2 linked regions of the Astyanax mexicanus genome follow. The protein of the gene in region 1 binds, or shares a complex with, the protein of each later gene. Links are inferred from orthologs where the notes say so. Each region holds a gene or a part of one and is shown on either strand. Other genes may lie near its edges.

The links.
Region 2: the proteins of naa35 (region 1) and naa38 are in contact, whole or in part, in a cryo-EM structure (PDB 7MX2), measured with the Homo sapiens proteins. The link is inferred for Astyanax mexicanus from reciprocal best matches to the Homo sapiens genes NAA35 and NAA38. Residues at the interface, in NP_001308810.1 of Homo sapiens: Val30, Asp31, Ile32, Thr33, Phe36, Ala39, Cys40, Leu43, Leu45, Glu47, Leu48, Leu49, His50, Asp51, Phe54, Glu58, Ala59, Ala62, Ile63, Glu64, Met65, Met66, Ala72, Gly73, Met74, Gln306, Arg307, Leu309, Pro310, Pro311; in NP_001307854.1 of Homo sapiens: Ala41, Arg42, Leu45, Glu46, Leu48, Leu49, Arg61, Phe67, Leu68, Cys69, Thr70, Asp71, Arg72, Cys74, Ile77, Arg97, Val98, Leu99, Gly100, Leu101, Ala102, Met103, Val104, Pro105, His108, Ser111, Ile112, Glu113, Val114.

What each region holds. Positions count from the first base shown.
Region 1 is NC_064419.1:21,418,656-21,427,759, forward strand, and holds the start of naa35 (N-alpha-acetyltransferase 35, NatC auxiliary subunit), read left to right. Parts: upstream 1-5,083; 5' UTR 5,084-5,178; intron 5,179-5,647; exon of another isoform or gene 5,648-5,817; intron 5,818-7,873; 5' UTR 7,874-7,964; coding exon 7,965-8,085; intron 8,086-9,104. Other genes in the region: agtpbp1 (cytosolic carboxypeptidase 1), read right to left, coding at 601-731, 2,431-2,462. UniProt on the Homo sapiens protein: Auxillary component of the N-terminal acetyltransferase C (NatC) complex which catalyzes acetylation of N-terminal methionine residues. N-terminal acetylation protects proteins from ubiquitination and degradation by the N-end rule pathway.
Region 2 is NC_064408.1:183,339-192,134, reverse strand, and holds naa38 (N-alpha-acetyltransferase 38, NatC auxiliary subunit), read left to right. Parts: upstream 1-4,981; 5' UTR 4,982-5,139; coding exon 5,140-5,172; intron 5,173-6,912; coding exon 6,913-7,081; intron 7,082-8,275; coding exon 8,276-8,388; 3' UTR 8,389-8,591; downstream 8,592-8,796. Other genes in the region: sat2b (diamine acetyltransferase 2b), read left to right, coding at 2,437-2,499, 2,802-2,853, 3,297-3,380, 3,461-3,562, 3,763-3,803, 3,984-4,178.

The sequences.
Region 1 (9,104 bases):
AATTTTCTCCTTAATTATATAACAGAGACCTACTAATTGTTGGCACTCTCACAACTCTCTAAAGCAACTTACAAAGCAAAAGAGACTCTAATTGTCTGCTGTCTACGCTACATTTTCTGATATTGAGGGTGGATATACTCTTTTAGGTAAACACAAACAGACTTGCTTAGGTGTTTGCTGACACTGAATGACACACTCATCTCCAAAACTGGGCAAAGATACCTTACCTTACAATGGCTTGCTATTGTTGTTTTGATCTGCACCAAGTGGGCCTACTTTGGTCTATTATTAACAGCCCATCACCTAGTGTTTCAGTACGTTTGTGCTATTTTAAGACATACTTCAAGGACAAAGTTTCAAATATTGAAATTGAATATTTTTTAACCATTTAACAGAATTTTTTACAGAAACATTTTACAGAAAAACTGTATTTCTATGATTCACACTGTAAAAGATTATTGTACATGATGATGCTGGCTTCATCCATCAGTTTTTTATTTGATGTCCTCATTTTTTCCTATGACTGTACTTGTAAGCAGGTTTGCGCATTTATGTGGCCCAGCAGCAAGGAATGATCAGCATGAGTTTGTGTTTTCTCACCTTGAGTCTGAATGAGATGCAGGATTTTGCCTGTCACCTGCCTGACCGCCTCAGTGTCAGTGACCAACACCTCTCCATTCAGGCGCTCCAGCTGCCCCAGCAACATCAGCACCCGGGAACTACTGGGGATTCTGCGAAGACACACACCAAGACAATAAATAAGCCTAAGAGATATGATTTTCAATATAAGTGGTGCAGTTTACAACCTATTTAGCAATATTTATTGAAGAGCCTATATCATTTTTCCTGAAATATGTAAACCATTACATAAAAATCCATCACACACGAGTTCCACTTTTTATTAAAATTTATTGTATTCACATTAACATATATTTACCTATTCAAGATAAAGGTAAAGAGGAGTATTTCAGCCTGGATTGTTCTTTGAATCAAGTACCATATGCCACACCCAATCAGAACAGAGTTCACTGGTGAAAGCATTGGGAAACCAGTTTATTTAAAATAAAAATTCAGAGAGTTTAATATGCTTTAGTAACTTTCTCTATTGTTCAGGGAAAGCTTTATATTAGATTATGGAGCATTGTTGTGACCATCATTCCAGAGAACACAGTTTTGGCAACTTAAAGTAACACTGAAAGTGTGAACTTGTTCCTGCAGTCTTTAACTCTGAGGCCAATCAGCTACACTTGAAAATAACTTGCACATAATGGTACAAATAGGGGATGGTAGCATAGGGAAGAACTACATAACAAGGGTGAATGAGGGAAGAAAGACACACCCAGTATGCTAATAGAGGGTGCCTGAAGACAAGACAGGGATAAATGCAAACGCAAGGTTAAAGATCATGTTTGACCAAAACAACTTCAAAATAGACTCATAAAGTCTATGCCTTCCCTTAGCTTTCACAAAATAGCCACTGGGCATGCTCACATCACAGCATTTGTTACTACTTAACTGTTTTAACCATGGCTGTCAACGTTAAAGCATTAATGCACACGATTAATTTACTATTTTTTAATGCAAATTAAAAATACGTTTGACCCCAACTTCCCCAGTTTCGCCGCCTCACATTTGATGAAATAGCTATTTGTCTACTGCCACGCTTGGGGCGCGCATTTTCACAGAGATTTATGTAAATACAACAGCAAGTGGAAATGGAGGAGCTACTGAACCAAAAAACTCACTGGTCCTCCTGTTTTTTTTTTTTTTGCAGTCCAGTTGCAAGAGTTTTGAAAGTACATCATTTTTAAATTAGTACATTGTATTCAGTCAGCTACCAATAAAATGCACTTCTTTTTGAATTAAGTGTAGAGGGCTCCACGTGGTCCATCAGGCTAAGTGCTGTCACTTATCGGGAGATTGCTGGTTCGAATCCCGATCATGTAGCTTACCATCAACTGCTGAAACCACAATTGGCAGGGACAGTGCTTGTTCATAGCATTATATTATCTGGCAAATATATCAGATTAAACTGCACCTTACCAGCAGTTTGGCTTAATTAATAAGAAGAATATTTGAAAGCTGGATCAAGACCAGATTGAGTTCTTAGCACTAGTGAATCACTCCAGAGTTCGTTTGAGACCAAAATCTGCAGGTTGGGCGGGGCAGATTACAGAAGAAGATGGGGTCAAACTTGAAAGCGTAATTATTTAATTTGCATTAAAAACATAGCAACGCACAGAGAAAATTAAAATTAAAATAAAAGAGAAAATTACCCCAGGACCCCCTAAGAAACTAGACCCGTCTGAATAGGGCTTTAGTTTCAAAAACTCTGACCTGATGAACATTAGACTGACCCTCTTTAAATGTAAAAATGCTTATAAATGTAGAGTAAATGATTTAAGAGTGTGTGCATGTTTGTGTGTTCACCCTTTCTCTGTAGCCATTTTGGGTTTATCCATTTCTTGCCATCCACAGAGAGATTAGTCACACTGCAAAAGAAAGACACAGCCATAAACATAACAGTTGTGCATAATTACTACATATAAACTACACTTTTCTTTCTATTCTTCTCATTATTTTTATTCTTTGAATTACAGTATATTATTCACATTAAATTAAATAATTAACTTAGTAACTGTTGAGCCAGATAAATATGTTTTAATTAATAAAAGTTAATGCCGTCTACTGTAAAAACACCTTATTGGACAGTAGGGTTAACTAGCTTACCTAGAAACCTAAAAACACAGCATTATTTACGCAGCATTAATGACATTAGTAACATAGCTACTAAGCTTTGGCTTTAATGTGACAGCCTTGGTTTTAATGTGATATTTATCTTAGCTAGTAAATAATTTAGACAAATTTAACCTAGATAATTAACTACAAACGAAATAAAGCCAACTAGCTACAAAACCCTTCAGCCCTGCAGCTGTAATGACAGTTAAGCTAGTTAGCTAACCTAGGTTATCTAGCGTTAGCATGGTTAGCTAACCTGGCTATCGCTAGCTGGCTAAAACAGGTCCCCTATGCCCGGGGAGGTTATGGTGACTCCTAAAACAAAGCTGCCACGCATCGACAGATGATAAATAAAGCACTGTAGCACAGAATTTAATCACACCAGTGTTTTTTAATTGAACCTAACAGCTGTCATAAAGCTCCCGGCTGGTATTATTGCCCTGAACTAACCCAGTTCAGCACCATGTCAGCTGCACCTGCCCCAGCGAGGGGCTAACGACCGGGCTAGCGAGCGAATCCAGCCCTGAAGTGTCACTACAGCTCCAACTGCACTAATACCCTGAATCGGAGGATCAGAAACGAGGTTTAACTTACATTTAAGGCAAAGCTGCTCCATCTGAGTTTAGCGGCTCCTGCTCTTTGTCTGTTATCTTAAGCAGATGCTCGCAACGCCCTGGTGTTATTATTATTTACTAGCAATCCATCTGGCCTGCCTGCCTGCCAGCTTACAGCAGAGACTCTCTGACAGAGAGAACTCCTACTCTATGAGTCTCTATGGGGCTTTTCACAACACTAGAGGCCGCTCCAGAGTGAGTCCAACATGAATGGGTTCAAATGGGAAAATGGAGCAAAATCATAGTTTATAAATGTTTAATCATTTTCATACTGACTAACATGGGGAAGCGGTAAAATCCTTATGAAATCCTCATCCTTATCATATTAACCTTAGAAAAAGTCACATTTCATGTAAAAAAAAAGTGGGGAATGAGGAATGTCAGTTTTTAGAAGGCAGTGTTTGTGTCTTTGACCTAAAATGCACTAATAAATTAATAAGGAATGTGTTTCATTTAAGAAAATATGCTACACCTAGAAGGAACTTTTCTTTTGGAATACCACGATCCAAGATAAAAATTGGACAAAAGCATGGCTTTTACCCTATAAATGTTCCCAAATATCCCCAATAAAACTAGGGAGTGCATTAGAAAATACTTCACAACATATATCTCCTATGAATTAGAAAATTGCAAAATTTAAAAATATGTTAAATGCTCCTTATGTCAATCAAAATGTGAATTAGTATCACATCTTTTTTTATGTTCCATTGCACCTAAAATTTTGAAGAAAACCAACATTTATGTGAACCTGAACCTTGGGGATATGTTATGTTTTTTTATACATTGACATAGATATATTATGTCTAGGAATTTATTATTAACATTTTTATTTTATTGAGTACATACAAACATTTTACATCACTATTGAAATCCTTTAGAATTACTAAAAATAAGAAAAAAAACTGTAAGAATTTGTGATAAGCTTTCACTGGCCTCTTGTTTTTTTTTCTTTTTTTCTCCATAATGTATATTTTTATACTGTCTTCCATTGTGGTTTCTTTATATTACCCTAAAACTTTAAAGATCAATAAAACAAAACAAAACAAAAACAAACAATAGGGCCAAGGGGTGAAATGGGACTGGGCCTTCTGCATTGGATCAAACAGTCAGTTCACAGTAGAAAGTAATTAAGAGAAAAACAAGTTATAAGTTATAAGTTTCTTTATTTTTTAAGAAAATGCTTCATTAGATTTTCCGAAATTAAATGGATATCCTGAACAAGTTGTTAGACACTGTTTTTAATTTTAGTTTGTAGCCATTTAGCTCCATTCACTCCCATTAATTGAAGACTCGCTCGTGATCGCCCCCTATCGGTTAACACTCCTTTTTTGCTAGAACGGGGAAACATGTGGGAAGTTGGAAGGCTCTACATAAACATCTCTGGCTTTATTACACCGTACTGGGACAGTTCTCACTGTTCTGACTTTGCGCAAAATCTGCGATCTACAAGTCATGCACGCGCACGGCGGTGTGACAGCAACGGCTTGGAAATCTGCGGATTCAAGTTACGGCACAAGTAACATAAGACGTATACTGGGAAATGTAGTACTTTGAGAGATTTTACGGTTTATTTTGAGGAAAAAATAGAGATTTATTTAAAAAAAGTATCGTCTTAAGGCATCTCAACCTGCACAACAATTAATACAACGTTATACATTCAGGACTTGAAATAAAATATGTACATAGGTCTAAAGGCGTGGATGGTTTGCGAAATATTCAGAACTACAAATCCTATAATGCAGTTCGGCGCAACGTCTATCACCGGTGACCAGTGGAAGCGGTGATGAGTGGCTGCAGGGGAGTACGCTAGCTAGTCATTTATAAGGTAAATTATCTGTTTTATCCATTAATTGCGGTGATGTTAAGTGATAACCGTATAAACGCGAAGCTAGTTAACATATTGCTGTATGAACTGAAATAATTGGCAGTGTTAAATCCGGAGTTTTAGCTTGTTGTTAGTCGTTATGTGGTCGCTTGCTAGGTTAGCTAAGCTAAGCTAGGTTAACGAGCTGGACACTGAATGTCAGATAGATAGATAGCTAGCTAAGCTAGGTTAGCTAAGCTATACTGTACACAAACATAACACAGCCATTACATTTCACATACCTAACCTAGCAGCCGCAGTCAACTGTTTTTTCTCGTTGTCGCATATTGTGTTACGGTTGGTTAAATGAAAAATGCCATTCTTCTTCCTTTCAAACAGACTTTGTATTGCCACCTATTTCAGTAACTAAACCCCTTAGGGTTCCAATCACCACAGAACAGTTGTTCTGTACGCAGGCTTGGCTACTCACCTTTAATGCTTGTCTGGAGGTCTGACACTCATTTCCTCCCCCTCCCATTCCCTCTCACAATAAATAAAGCTGCAGAACGAGTTAGCTAGGTTAGATGACTAGTTAATCCAGATATCCATGACCAGCTCAGTCTGTGTGTTAATGACTATTAGCTACTGATGTTTGCCATAGTTCAAATTAGGGCATTTGTCAAGCTTACTATGTCTATGTCTACTTCCTTCTTGGGAACTCTTGACCACACACTGAGCTTTCCCACACCCACACACACACACACACACACACACACACACACACTAAACACCAAACACCAAAGTTGGCTCTTTTTAACTGAAACCCAGCCATATAAAGACTGTGGACTACTGCCAATGTGTTTAAATGACCGCTCCATAAAACTGGACCGCTACTCCCTTTCACCTGTTCTCTTTTGAGTTTAGTTTCTGCATGTTTATTAATGTATTTTCTATAAATTTAATTCAGTAAAATGGCTAATATTATTTTATTGCATCTCTACGAAGCTCCTTAAAGGACATTAAAAAATTAAATAATAAAAAAATGCACACCCACAGCTTATTAAAGCGCAGGAAAAAGGATAGTGACATTTTTCCCCATTGTCATCTTCCTGTATCGTAAATGATTTTCGGCGAATCTCAATATTTCTTTCCTTTCTTCATCCGCCAAAATGTTGACCCAAACCTTTAGGGTTAAAAACAATTCAGATTAGTTTTAGGTGAGGCCTTATTTGAAAGACCTCTCAGGGTTCCAGGATCATGTGCTTTTGACTGGTAGGTTTTTGCAAGGTCTTCAGATAATATTGCTGGATGGTGAAAAGTTCTGTTTCCTCCATTGTTTCTTATTCTCTTTACAATGCCCACAAAGACATTGTTTACTGGTGTAAAATCTGCGTCTTTACATAGTAGAAGCTGATTCATTTCGTTTTGGTTTATAATTCTAAATCGACTTTAATGTTGTTGCTCTTTAACCAGGATGTAAATACATTAAGAGTCCAGGACGTTTGTTTTACTATTTTAACTCCATTTCTCTGCATTTCCAGCTCTACTAATCATTGTTTAAACCGCATCAAACCTTGGGTCATTGGAGGTGTCAGGCAGGTCATTTATAGATTTATCCTCTGGTTTCAGAACGAAACCAATGCTTTCAAAGCCAATAGATTTAATGAATCCACTGTAATTAATTGTGACAGTTGTTGCTGCTCTGTTTATAGTTGTGCTGTTTGTAAGAGCTGCATTGTTGGTAGGTTACCCGTATGTGGCGAAGTAATACATGGGGAGCTTCAGTTACAGTGAATTACCAACTGATAACTGTATTCATAGAAGCTAGGGCTGCAACTAATGATTATTTTGGTAGTCGACTATCTCTAAAAACAATAGAAACAGCTGAACGTGAGATTCATAAGGCATTTAAATGTCTGGATGTTGTTTAAACGTGGAAAGTACTGATATTTAGTGAGTAAATATGTAATCTGTAGAGTTTGGGTACTTTTGGAGACACAGACTAAGTTAAGTGTAAACTGTGTGAGTGAGCCATTTACCCATCTTCAATTGCGCTTCTGTCCCCAGCACTTTGTGTAATGCGGTACTGTTACAAATGAACGATTAGTCGACAATTAAATTTGTAGTCGACAAATTTAAATAATCGGCACTGTTGATTATATCGACTAATCTTTGCAGCTCTAATAGAAGCCTCTCAGCCAATCACATTGCAGGGTCAGAACTGAATGTGGTATAATGCAAGTTGTTTCACTACCAGAGCTGGAGCATCCCTTGCTATCTTTATGAAACTCCTGATGTCTGAGCTCTTCAAAGAGCACTTACTCTCCTAACACCTCTAACAAACTAACTACTTCTCCTGCTTTTCTCCTCTGTCCCACTAATCCCAAGTTTTTTGCCTTGAACTTCTATGTACTCTATTACTAAATGTAAATCATTATTTGTAAGTCGCTATTCGATAAAAGCATCTGCCAAATGTAATCTAATGTACTGTTACAATTTGGAACGTAGTACTAGTACCTAATTTTCATTAAAAAGAAATATACTGTAACACCTGTGTAGTATAATGAATAGTAAGCAGATATTTTAGCATTTCTGGATACTGGCAGTGATGGTAATATACTGTTTATTGCAGTAAACAATATTTTATACATTATCAGCATACAGGAGTATGAAAGGCACTCTGACTAATTGTATCATTGTTCTGTTGTATTTACAGTACTGTGAATCGCTCCACAGCAACGGCGTGGTGCTCTAGGCCTCGTCTCCTAACCTGAAGATCTGCTGCTTTGTTGTTTGCATCCGTCCCCATGGTGATGAAATCGTCAGTGGAGGAGGACGAAGGTGGATGGGGTCTCGGCATCCCAGAGAAGATGAGGAACAACGCCAACTGGGTGGACATCACCCAAGACTTCAAAGGGGCCTGTAAAGGTGTGTTTGACAGAGTTATACGTATCACTGACACCTGAATGTCAACATAGCAACATGCTCGCATCGCCTCCCCTTTGTTCTGGGTGCAACGTGAAGCTGCTCCTGGATCAGAGTGATCATTTTCACTGAACTGACCCAGAACCTGTCCGTGTTCCAGCATTTTGTTGTTATTGGAACCAATAGAGGCAGCTGTGATATCGCAGACTGGCTCTCCCAGGACATCAGATCTCTCCCAGAATAACCCTTTTTCCACTGAGCTCTGAGAAACATTCTGAGAACCTTTCTTTATGCTTATGTTTCTCATAATAATCAGAATTTGTAACCTGGTGAAGGCTTTATAGGGGATATGACTTTAAATGGCTGTGACCAAAGTCTTAAACGAATACCTCAGTCACAGATGATAATATTGATAAATAACATAAAACCTGTTGACTCAAAACACACTGTAATAGAATCCAGTGGACAGACACAAGAGAACCATATATACAATACGTTTGCTTTGATACACAGATAGAATGTAATCTCTGCCTTTTAATCACCCAAGCACGGGTTACCGGACTGACACACAGTGGCAATCAACAACAAGACTTACTCTGTAGCTGATCAGTAACCTGTCTCTACTACACCATTGGTAGTGATAAATTACCCAGCTACTGTTATCAACCTTACTAAAACTCAGTCATCACCTGTTCAGCAGAACAATAGTCAGTTCACCCATTTCCATAGCTTCAGCACACTGTTTGCATGCTGTCTATACCTATTGGAGGCTATATCCCAAACAGATTTCTGTGACATACTGCACAGTAATAAAATACTGTCTGAAGCTCTGCTGATAAGAACCTTTTATTAGTTTCGACAGAAGATATATTAACCCTGGTCCTTTAAAGCTAAAGCACACTGATGGATTGATTTCCATACAGCTTAAGTTCATTTTAAACTACTGTGTAGATGTAATAGGATAAATAATCACTGCTCCAAATTAGAACAGTCATGTAAAGGTTGGAATTGTTTTAACCAGG
Region 2 (8,796 bases), on another chromosome or scaffold:
AGGTCAGTAGTGAACAGTAGGTCAGTGGTGAACAGTAGGTCAGTAGTGAACAGTAGGTCAGTGGTGAACAGTAGGTCAGTAGTGAACAGTAGGTCAGTAGTAAACAGTAGGTCAGTGGTGAACAGTAGGTCAGTGGTGATCAGTAGGTCAGTAGTGAACAGTAGGTCAGTAGTAAACAGTAGGTCAGTAGTAAACAGTAGGTCAGTAGTGAACAGTAGGTCAGTAGTAAACAGTAGGTCAGTAGTAAACAGTAGGTCAGTAGTAAACAGTAGGTCAGTAGTGAACAGTAGGTCAGTAGTGAACAGTAGGTCAGTGGTGAACAGTAGGTCAGTAGTAAACAGTAGGTCAGTGGTGAACAGTAGGTCAGTAGTAAACAGTAGGTCAGTGGTGAACAGTAGGTCAGTAGTAAACAGTAGGTCAGTAGTGAACAGTAGGTCAGTAGTAAACAGTAGGTCAGTAGTAAACAGTAGGTCAGTGGTGATCAGTAGGTCAGTAGTAAACAGTAGGTCAGTAGTGAACAGTAGGTCAGTAGTGAACAGTAGGTCAGTGGTGAACAGTAGGTCAGTAGTAAACAGTAGGTCAGTAGTAAACAGTAGGTCAGTAGTGAACAGTAGGTCAGTGGTGAACAGTAGGTCAGTAGTGAACAGTAGGTCAGTAGTAAACAGTAGGTCAGTGGTGATCAGTAGGTCAGTAGTGAACAGTAGGTCAGTAGTGAACAGTAGGTCAGTGGTGAACAGTAGGCGGGTAGTGAACAGTAGGTCAGTAGTGAACAGTAGGTCAGTAGTAAACAGTAGGTCAGTGGTGATCAGTAGGTCAGTAGTGAACAGTAGGTCAGTGGTGAACAGTAGGTCAGTAGTGAACAGTAGGTCAGTGGTGAACAGTAGGTCAGTAGTGAACAGTAGGTCAGTAGTGAACAGTAGGTCAGTGGTGAACAGTAGGCGGGTAGTGAACAGTAGGTCAGTAGTGAACAGTAGGTCAGTAGTAAACAGTAGGTCAGTGGTGATCAGTAGGTCAGTAGTGAACAGTAGGTCAGTGGTGAACAGTAGGTCAGTGGTGAACAGTAGGTCAGTAGTAAACAGTAGGTCAGTGGTGATCAGTAGGTCAGTAGTGAACAGTAGGTCAGTGGTGAACAGTAGGTCAGTGGTGAACAGTAGGTCAGTAGTAAACAGTAGGTCAGTAGTGAACAGTAGGTCAGTGGTGAACAGTAGGTCAGTGGTGAACAGTAGGTCAGTAGTGAACAGTAGGTCAGTGGTGAACAGTAGGTCAGTAGTGAACAGTAGGTCAGTAGTGAACAGTAGGTCAGTAGTAAACAGTAGGTCAGTAGTGAACAGTAGGTCAGTGGTGAACAGTAGGTCAGTAGTGAACAGTAGGTCAGTAGTGAACAGTAGGTCAGTAGTAAACAGTAGGTCAGTGGTGAACAGTAGGTCAGTGGTGATCAGTAGGTCAGTAGTGAACAGTAGGTCAGTAGTGAACAGTAGGTCAGTAGTGAACAGTAGGTCAGTAGTGCAGTACCGGTTCTTACCTCTGAGCTGCAGGAGGTGCCGCTGAGTCAATAAACCCTTAATCAATACGTCCCAATAATCACAGGTTCTGCACTGTGTGTGTTTATAGTGTATAGTGCAAAGTGTGTGTATAGTGTGTGTGTGAGTGTGTGTGTGTGTGTGTATAGTTTATAGTGCGTATCGGTTGATCCTTCTCCAGCAAAAGCTGAAACTTCTGCTCGCGCTCCAACTGTAATCAGAGTGGGCGTGGCCAGCCGACCAGGGGCGTGTGTGTGGGCGGGACCAGACGTTGAAGTGCAGGGTCTTAGTGGATCAGAGAGGAAAGAGGAGTGTGTCTTACTGATCACTACTGAATTACAATCAATAATCAACCATTAATCAATACCTGATTCCAACTACAGCCATTTATTCAGACGATAATAATGATTTTTTTTAATAACTATTTTGTTTAAGTTATATTATGGGATATAATTCTGTTCTCAGTTTAATAGAATATGTTTATATAAATCTGTTTATAAAAGTTTAGTTTTCTACTCAGTCACATGATCTTAATTAACATAATAACAATATGATTATTATTGTTATTATTATTATTATTATTAAAATTATTATTATAATTGTGTAATTAATGTGTTTACAGTACTATTATAATATACTAGTATAATATTAAAAACTCTAAATCTGATAGTGTGTGTGAATATATATATATACATATACATACATAGTGTGTATAGTGTATAGTTATATATAAAGTGTGAGTATGTCATTGCATATGACTGCGCAGCTGCGTAAATGCTGCGCAGCAGTGACGCTCTGTAGTTCTGCGGAGGAGCCGCGTGTAGAAAGTGCGGCAGTGCTGCGCGCGCGGACGCTGATCAGTGATCAGTTACTGCGGATCGATTAAACCAATCAGTCTGGTCAAAAATCTCACAGCATGAAGTACAGCATCCGGCCAGCGCGCGCTCAGGACTGCACTGATATACAGCGCATGATCATGGTGAGGGGGGGTAATTACATTAATTACACTGTACAATTACAATTACTTTAATTACATATAACAGTTACAGTAATTGCACGTAACCGTTACTATAGTTACAGTAATTTCAGTACATTATATTAATATTTATAACCTGCTCTTATATTTAATTTACTGAGTTATTTTCAGGAACAGAGGAACTCTGTCTAACTAACTCTGACTAAAGTCCAACTTACTCTCACTGTGTGTGTGTGTGTGTGTGTGTGTGTGTGTGTGTGTGTGTGTGTGTTGGTGTGTTTGTGTGTGTGTTGGTGTGTGTGTAGGATCTGGCTGTGTATGAGAAGATGCCTGACCAGGTGAAGATCTCTCACAAAGGTTAATTTAAGTTCAGGTGAACAGCTTACAGGTGTGCAGGTTCAGTGCAGGTATTATTCAGGTGTGCAGGTTCAGTACAGGTATTGTTCAGGTGTGCAGGTTCAGTACAGGTATTGTTCAGGTGTGCAGGTTCAGTACAGGTATTGTTCAGGTGTGCAGGTTCAGTACAGGTATTGTTCAGGTGTGCAGGTTCAGTACAGGTATTGTTCAGGTGTGCAGGTTCAGTACAGGTATTGTTCAGGTGTGCAGGTTCAGTACAGGTATTGTTCAGGTGTGCAGGTTCAGTACAGGTATTGTTCAGGTGTGCAGGATCAGTGCAGGTATTGTTCAGGTGTGCAGGTTCAGTGCAGGTATTGTTCAGGTGTGCAGGTTCAGTGCAGGTATTGTTCAGGTGTGCAGGTGTGTGGGTACTTAGTGTGTGTGTGTGTGTGTTGCGGTTTCAGAGCTGGAGCGGGATGGGTTTGGTCCGAACCCGTTTTTTCAGTGTTTGGTAGCGGAGGTGGCGCAGGAACACTGTTCTCCTGAAGGTACAGTAACTCACCTGTTTCACCTGTATCAGGTAAACGCTCCCCTCGGTCTGACTGTGTTGGGGTTTGGGGGGGTGCAGGTCACACGGTGGTGGGCTACGCTCTGTATTTCTACACCTACAGCACCTGGAGCGGGCGCTGCGTCTACATGGAGGACCTGTACGTCATGCCCAACTTCAGAGGTGTGTTAGTGATACTTACACACCTGTACCTGTATAAATACGGTCTTGCGTGCAGGTCTCTGAATGGAACTGTCTGTTCCACCTTAAATACACCTCAGGCATTACTACTGTAACTGCTGCAGCATTTAAGGTGGAACGGAAAATTCCAGCAAGAGGTCTGCAGTATGAAGTTAACTTTCGGTTACTCTGCTTACTTACAGGTAAAGGTGTTGGGAAAGCTCTGATGGCGACAATCGCCAAGGTGAGTCTGTGTTTATTATACATATAATAATTATAAATACAAAAATAATGAATAAAAAATACACTAAAATAAACGCTAACTAATATGTACTAAATTTACTGATTTTGATTAGGTCTACAGGTGTGCAGGTTGTATACAGGTGTTGTTAGGTGTGTGATTTCTGGTGTGTGTGTGTTGTAGGTAGCTACAGAGCAGCAGTGTGTACGGTTGCAGTTCTCGGTTCTGGACTGGAACAAACCTTCGCTGGAGTTTTACCTGTCGAAAGGTGCGCAGGACCTGACGGATAAGGAGGGCTGGCACTTCTTGCGCTTTGATGGAGAGGCTCTGGATAACCTGGCTCAGGAAGCTCCGCCCACTTCCACCTGTTCCACCTGAATAAACACCACCGGTGTTATGAACAGTGTTCGGTTAGCGTACAGCGGTTAGCCGCTCGCCGTGCTAACTCCGTTAGAGTTAATCTGTCCCAATAAAATCAAAGATCAAAGAGTTTTTATCACATTATTAAAAATTATAATGATTTTTGAGTGAATTTAGGACTTAATTTAGAAAATAAGAGTCTTGTAGCATTATTTTACTCTATCCTGTTAAAAACTGACAGAAATCATTAGTTTTGTTTTTTATCCAGATCAATAAAGAGATTATGTTGTTTTATACAGGATGATGTTTATTTCTGTGTAAATTTAATTCTCTGCTGTTTATCCGGCTATAGTTTGTTTCACTTTTATATAAATAAATAAATAAATGTCAAATAAATGAATTATATTGCTTTATTTGGGGTGATGTTAATGTCTGTGTGAATTAAACAGCACTGTTTATGCCTATAAAAGTCATTTATATTAATCAAACATGTCATGGTTAATTTGTTTCTTGTTGTAATAAATAAAGAGATTATATTGTTAGATTCGGGTGATTTTTATTTATTTTAGTAATTAAGGGTCCTGCAGCTTTAGCAGTAATTTACTTCATGTTAAAAACTGACAGATATGATTTGTTAAATAAAATAAATAGATTGTATTGTTTGATGCAGGTGACTGGAAAATAAACTCTTTTGTGTGTAGCTGTACAAGTGTTTATATTTGTGTGAATAAAAAAAAATACTAGTAATTAGTGTTAGCAATAACGGTTAGCATTAGCGGTTAGCGTTAGCATTATCAGGGTGCAGTACCGCTCCGCTGCGGCGGGGGCGCTGTGAGTTTCCCGGGCTCGGTGTTTGGGCTCCGGCTGCAGGCTGGTTGAGTAGCGCTGTGTTTATTGTTAATAATCAGTAAATAATAATCGATATTCGGTTTTAAATCGCTCCGGGATCAGTGTTAGATCATCTCTGAGTGATTAAAACATGGAGGAGAACGGCACCGAGCTGCAGGAGGGGGTAAGCGCGGCTAATGCTAACGCTAATGCTAACGCTAATATTAGCCGCTAATGTCTCAGTGTTTGAAGTGATTATAGTGAGATTATGATTACTGTTATTATTTACTTCAGTACTACAGGAGCTCAGTGTTACTGTGATTATAGTGATATTATTAATACTGTTATTATAGAGGAGAGGTTTCAGCTCAGTGATGTTTTTCAGTATAAACTAAAGTATTGATGAGAATAAATATCTTTATAATAAACAGAGGATCAGTATTTACTGATTAATCTGATTTATTAATCCTGAGGAAGTTTATAATCCAGTAATTTTATCACTTTACCACAGACACACTCAGAGAAACAGTAGATATCTACATAAAGACTGCAGGTACTAGATAAGTACTAGATAAGAGTTAGAGGACTATAAGGTTAGAGGTAATGGAGCTGGTAGTTCATGTTTTGTTGGAATCTGTTGTTAATGCTGATCTGCTGGATCATACGGGTTATACTGGTAGACCAGCTAAACCTCTGTAATAAAGTCACTTTAACACTACAGTGTAAATCTATTGGATTTCTTTACCAAATTTCAGGATGATCAAAATGCGGTAATAGAGGAAGTAAAAGAATATGTTATACATTTGCCTTTGTTTTAAATAGAATTAATGCAAAATAACAAACTTGTTTGTATCAAAAATAACAATACCTGCACAATGAGACAAAGTAGTGCAAAATAAAATAAGTTTAAATATAATGATTTTAAAGTGCTGCCTGTATATACGATCTATTAACAGTTAAATGTGTTCTTTTTAAAATCGTTTGTAAACATTTACATTAAATATTCTTGCCTTGCAGCTTCCTGTAGCTCTTCTCCTATTGGTTGCCAAGTCTCAAGACATATGATTAATGTTAAACACGGTTGATTTTATCTGAACTTTATCTGAACGCAGGACGAGAAAAATACTGACTTAAACCTTCAATCTTTTAAATACCTTACACTGAACCATCGAGACGACGCCCCCACAACTCCCCTCTAACAACACTCAGGATTTTATTCAGACTCGTTTAAAATCGTTTGGTGTAAGATCAGGATTAATCGCTCAGTCACCGAACTGCAGTGTGAAACCGAAACTAACCGGATTAAATAAAGAACAGTAGCTTAGTGTGGAGTTTTAGTGTTCTGTTGTAAGAGCTGTTCAGAGATCCTGATTGCTGAAGATGGAAAAAAGCACTTCAGTTTCTGAATCAGTTTCTCTGATTTTGCTATTTATAGGTTTATGTTTGAGTAAAATGAACATAGTTGTTTTATTCTATAAACTACAGACAACATTTCTCCCAAATTCCAAATAAAAATATTCTCATTTAGAGCATTTATTTACAGAAAATGAGAAATGGCTGAAATAACAAAAAAGATGCAGAGCTTTCAGACCTCAAATAATGCAAAGAAAACAACAAGTTCATATTCATAAAGTTTTAAGAGTTCAGAAATAATCCATATTTGGTGGAATAATCCTGGTTTTTAATCACAGTTTTTTTCATGCATCTTGGCATCATGTTCTCCTCCACCAGTCTTACACACTGCTTTTGGATAACTTTATGCTGCTTTACTCCTGGTGCAAAAATTCAAGCAGTTCAGTTTGGTGGTTTGATGGTTTGTGATCATCCATCTTCCTCTTGATTATATTCCAGAGGTTTTCGATAAAGAAACTCATTATTTTCCAGAGCTGTATATATTTATATATGTGTGTGTGTGTGTGTGCAGGTGGAGGAGTGTGTGTACTCCTCGGCTCGGCAGAAGCTGGAGAATCTGTTGAATAAGAGTATGAGGATCCGGATGACGGACGGCCGGACGCTGGTGGGACTGTTCCTCTGCACCGACCGCGACTGTAACGTCATCCTCGGCTCCGCCCAGGAGTTCCTCAAGTCCACAGGTGGGCGGAGCTCGCGAGAATTTACAGCATCCCTATTGGTCCATCCACCGCCCATTTTATTACAGTATAAACCGATTTATTTTGCAGAGAAAATGATAAAGAGCTGAAAGTGAAGCAGCAGAACTGCGTTATAACCAGCAGAGGGCGCACGAGTCGTGTGTAAATTATCAGCAGTAAATAAATATATTTATACTCATTTTCCACTTGTTTTAGGAGCTACGAGGTGCACGTCTGGAAATGTAAAAATGAATATTTACAGTTTATTTAACAATACAATATTAACAATGATAAAATAAGTGATCAGAAAGCTGTTAATACACTTATATATCATTTATATAGTGCTGTAATTCCATACATATTCTCTTACATCTACAATGTAGAAAAACACTGAATGAAAAGGGGGTCCAGACTTTTGAGATCACTTGATTTGACAAGTAGTACTAGAAGTATGTGTTTTAACATATAACATATAAGTTTCAACACATAGAATTACGCCAATCCTGTTTAATAAAGACACTAGTAATAGTATTACATATAATTAAAATAAAGGTTTTGCAAAACACAATATATAAAATATTATAGACAGACTGATCTGTGTTTTTGGGACCAATCTAATTGCAGATACAGATCGAGGGCGTGGCCTAAACTGACTGTAGATTTCAGAAGAGATATATATGTGTAAAAACTTTGTTATATAATTATGTTTTTGTCTATTTGGCCGCTCTATCTCTAAACTATATACATATATTTCATATTGTGAAATTAAGGAGCTTAGATGCAAGTTGTCTTACTTTCACAAACCATTTTAGAACTACAATCATATTATCATACTTTAACTATACATTTACCTCAGCCGAGCTACTCTAACTTTATATTTACCTCAGAAGAGCTATTCTAATCATACATGTACCTCAGCAATGCTATTCTAGTCATACATTTACCTCATTAGAGCTATTCTCATCATATATTTACCTCAGTAGAGCTGCTTTACCTATACATTTACCTCAGTAGATCTATTCTAATTATGAATTTACCTCAGCAGAGCTACTCTAATCATACATTTACCTCAGCAGTGCTATTCTAATCATACATTTACCTCAGCAGAGTTATTATAATCATATATTTACCTCAGAAGTGCTATTCTAATCATAGATTTAGCTCAGCGGTATCATATTTGCTCTCTCTCTCTCTCAGACTCGTTTTCTCAGGGTGAGCCGAGGGTTCTGGGTCTGGCGATGATTCCGGGTCATCACGTCGTCTCGATCGAGGTGGAGGCGGAGAGTTTACAGCCGGCTCACGGACTCTGAGTGCTGAACTCCTCCAGAGGATTATGGGAAGAGTAGTTTTTTTTGGACACTGCTGCTCCTGCAGGGCAGGTTAACACAGTGTGTGTGCTGTTCCTGAGCGTACCTGAGGACAGGTGGACTCCTGTGTGTGTGTGTGGGTGTGTGTGTGTGTGTGTACAAGGGTGTGGTTTTGTAAATATCAATAAAAAGAAAATATTGGGAAATTGGGAGTTGTATTTTTCTTCTTATTCTTTTTATTATTAGTAGTAATAAATAAAAGGTATGTTTGAAGATGAAGGTGCAGAACTGCATGAAGAGACCGTCTCTTACTGTTAAACATGGGGGTGGATGGATCATGCTGTGAGTTTGTGCTGCAGCCAGTGGCACAGGGAAGGATGCACAGTTAGAGGGAAGAATTTAATATAGTTA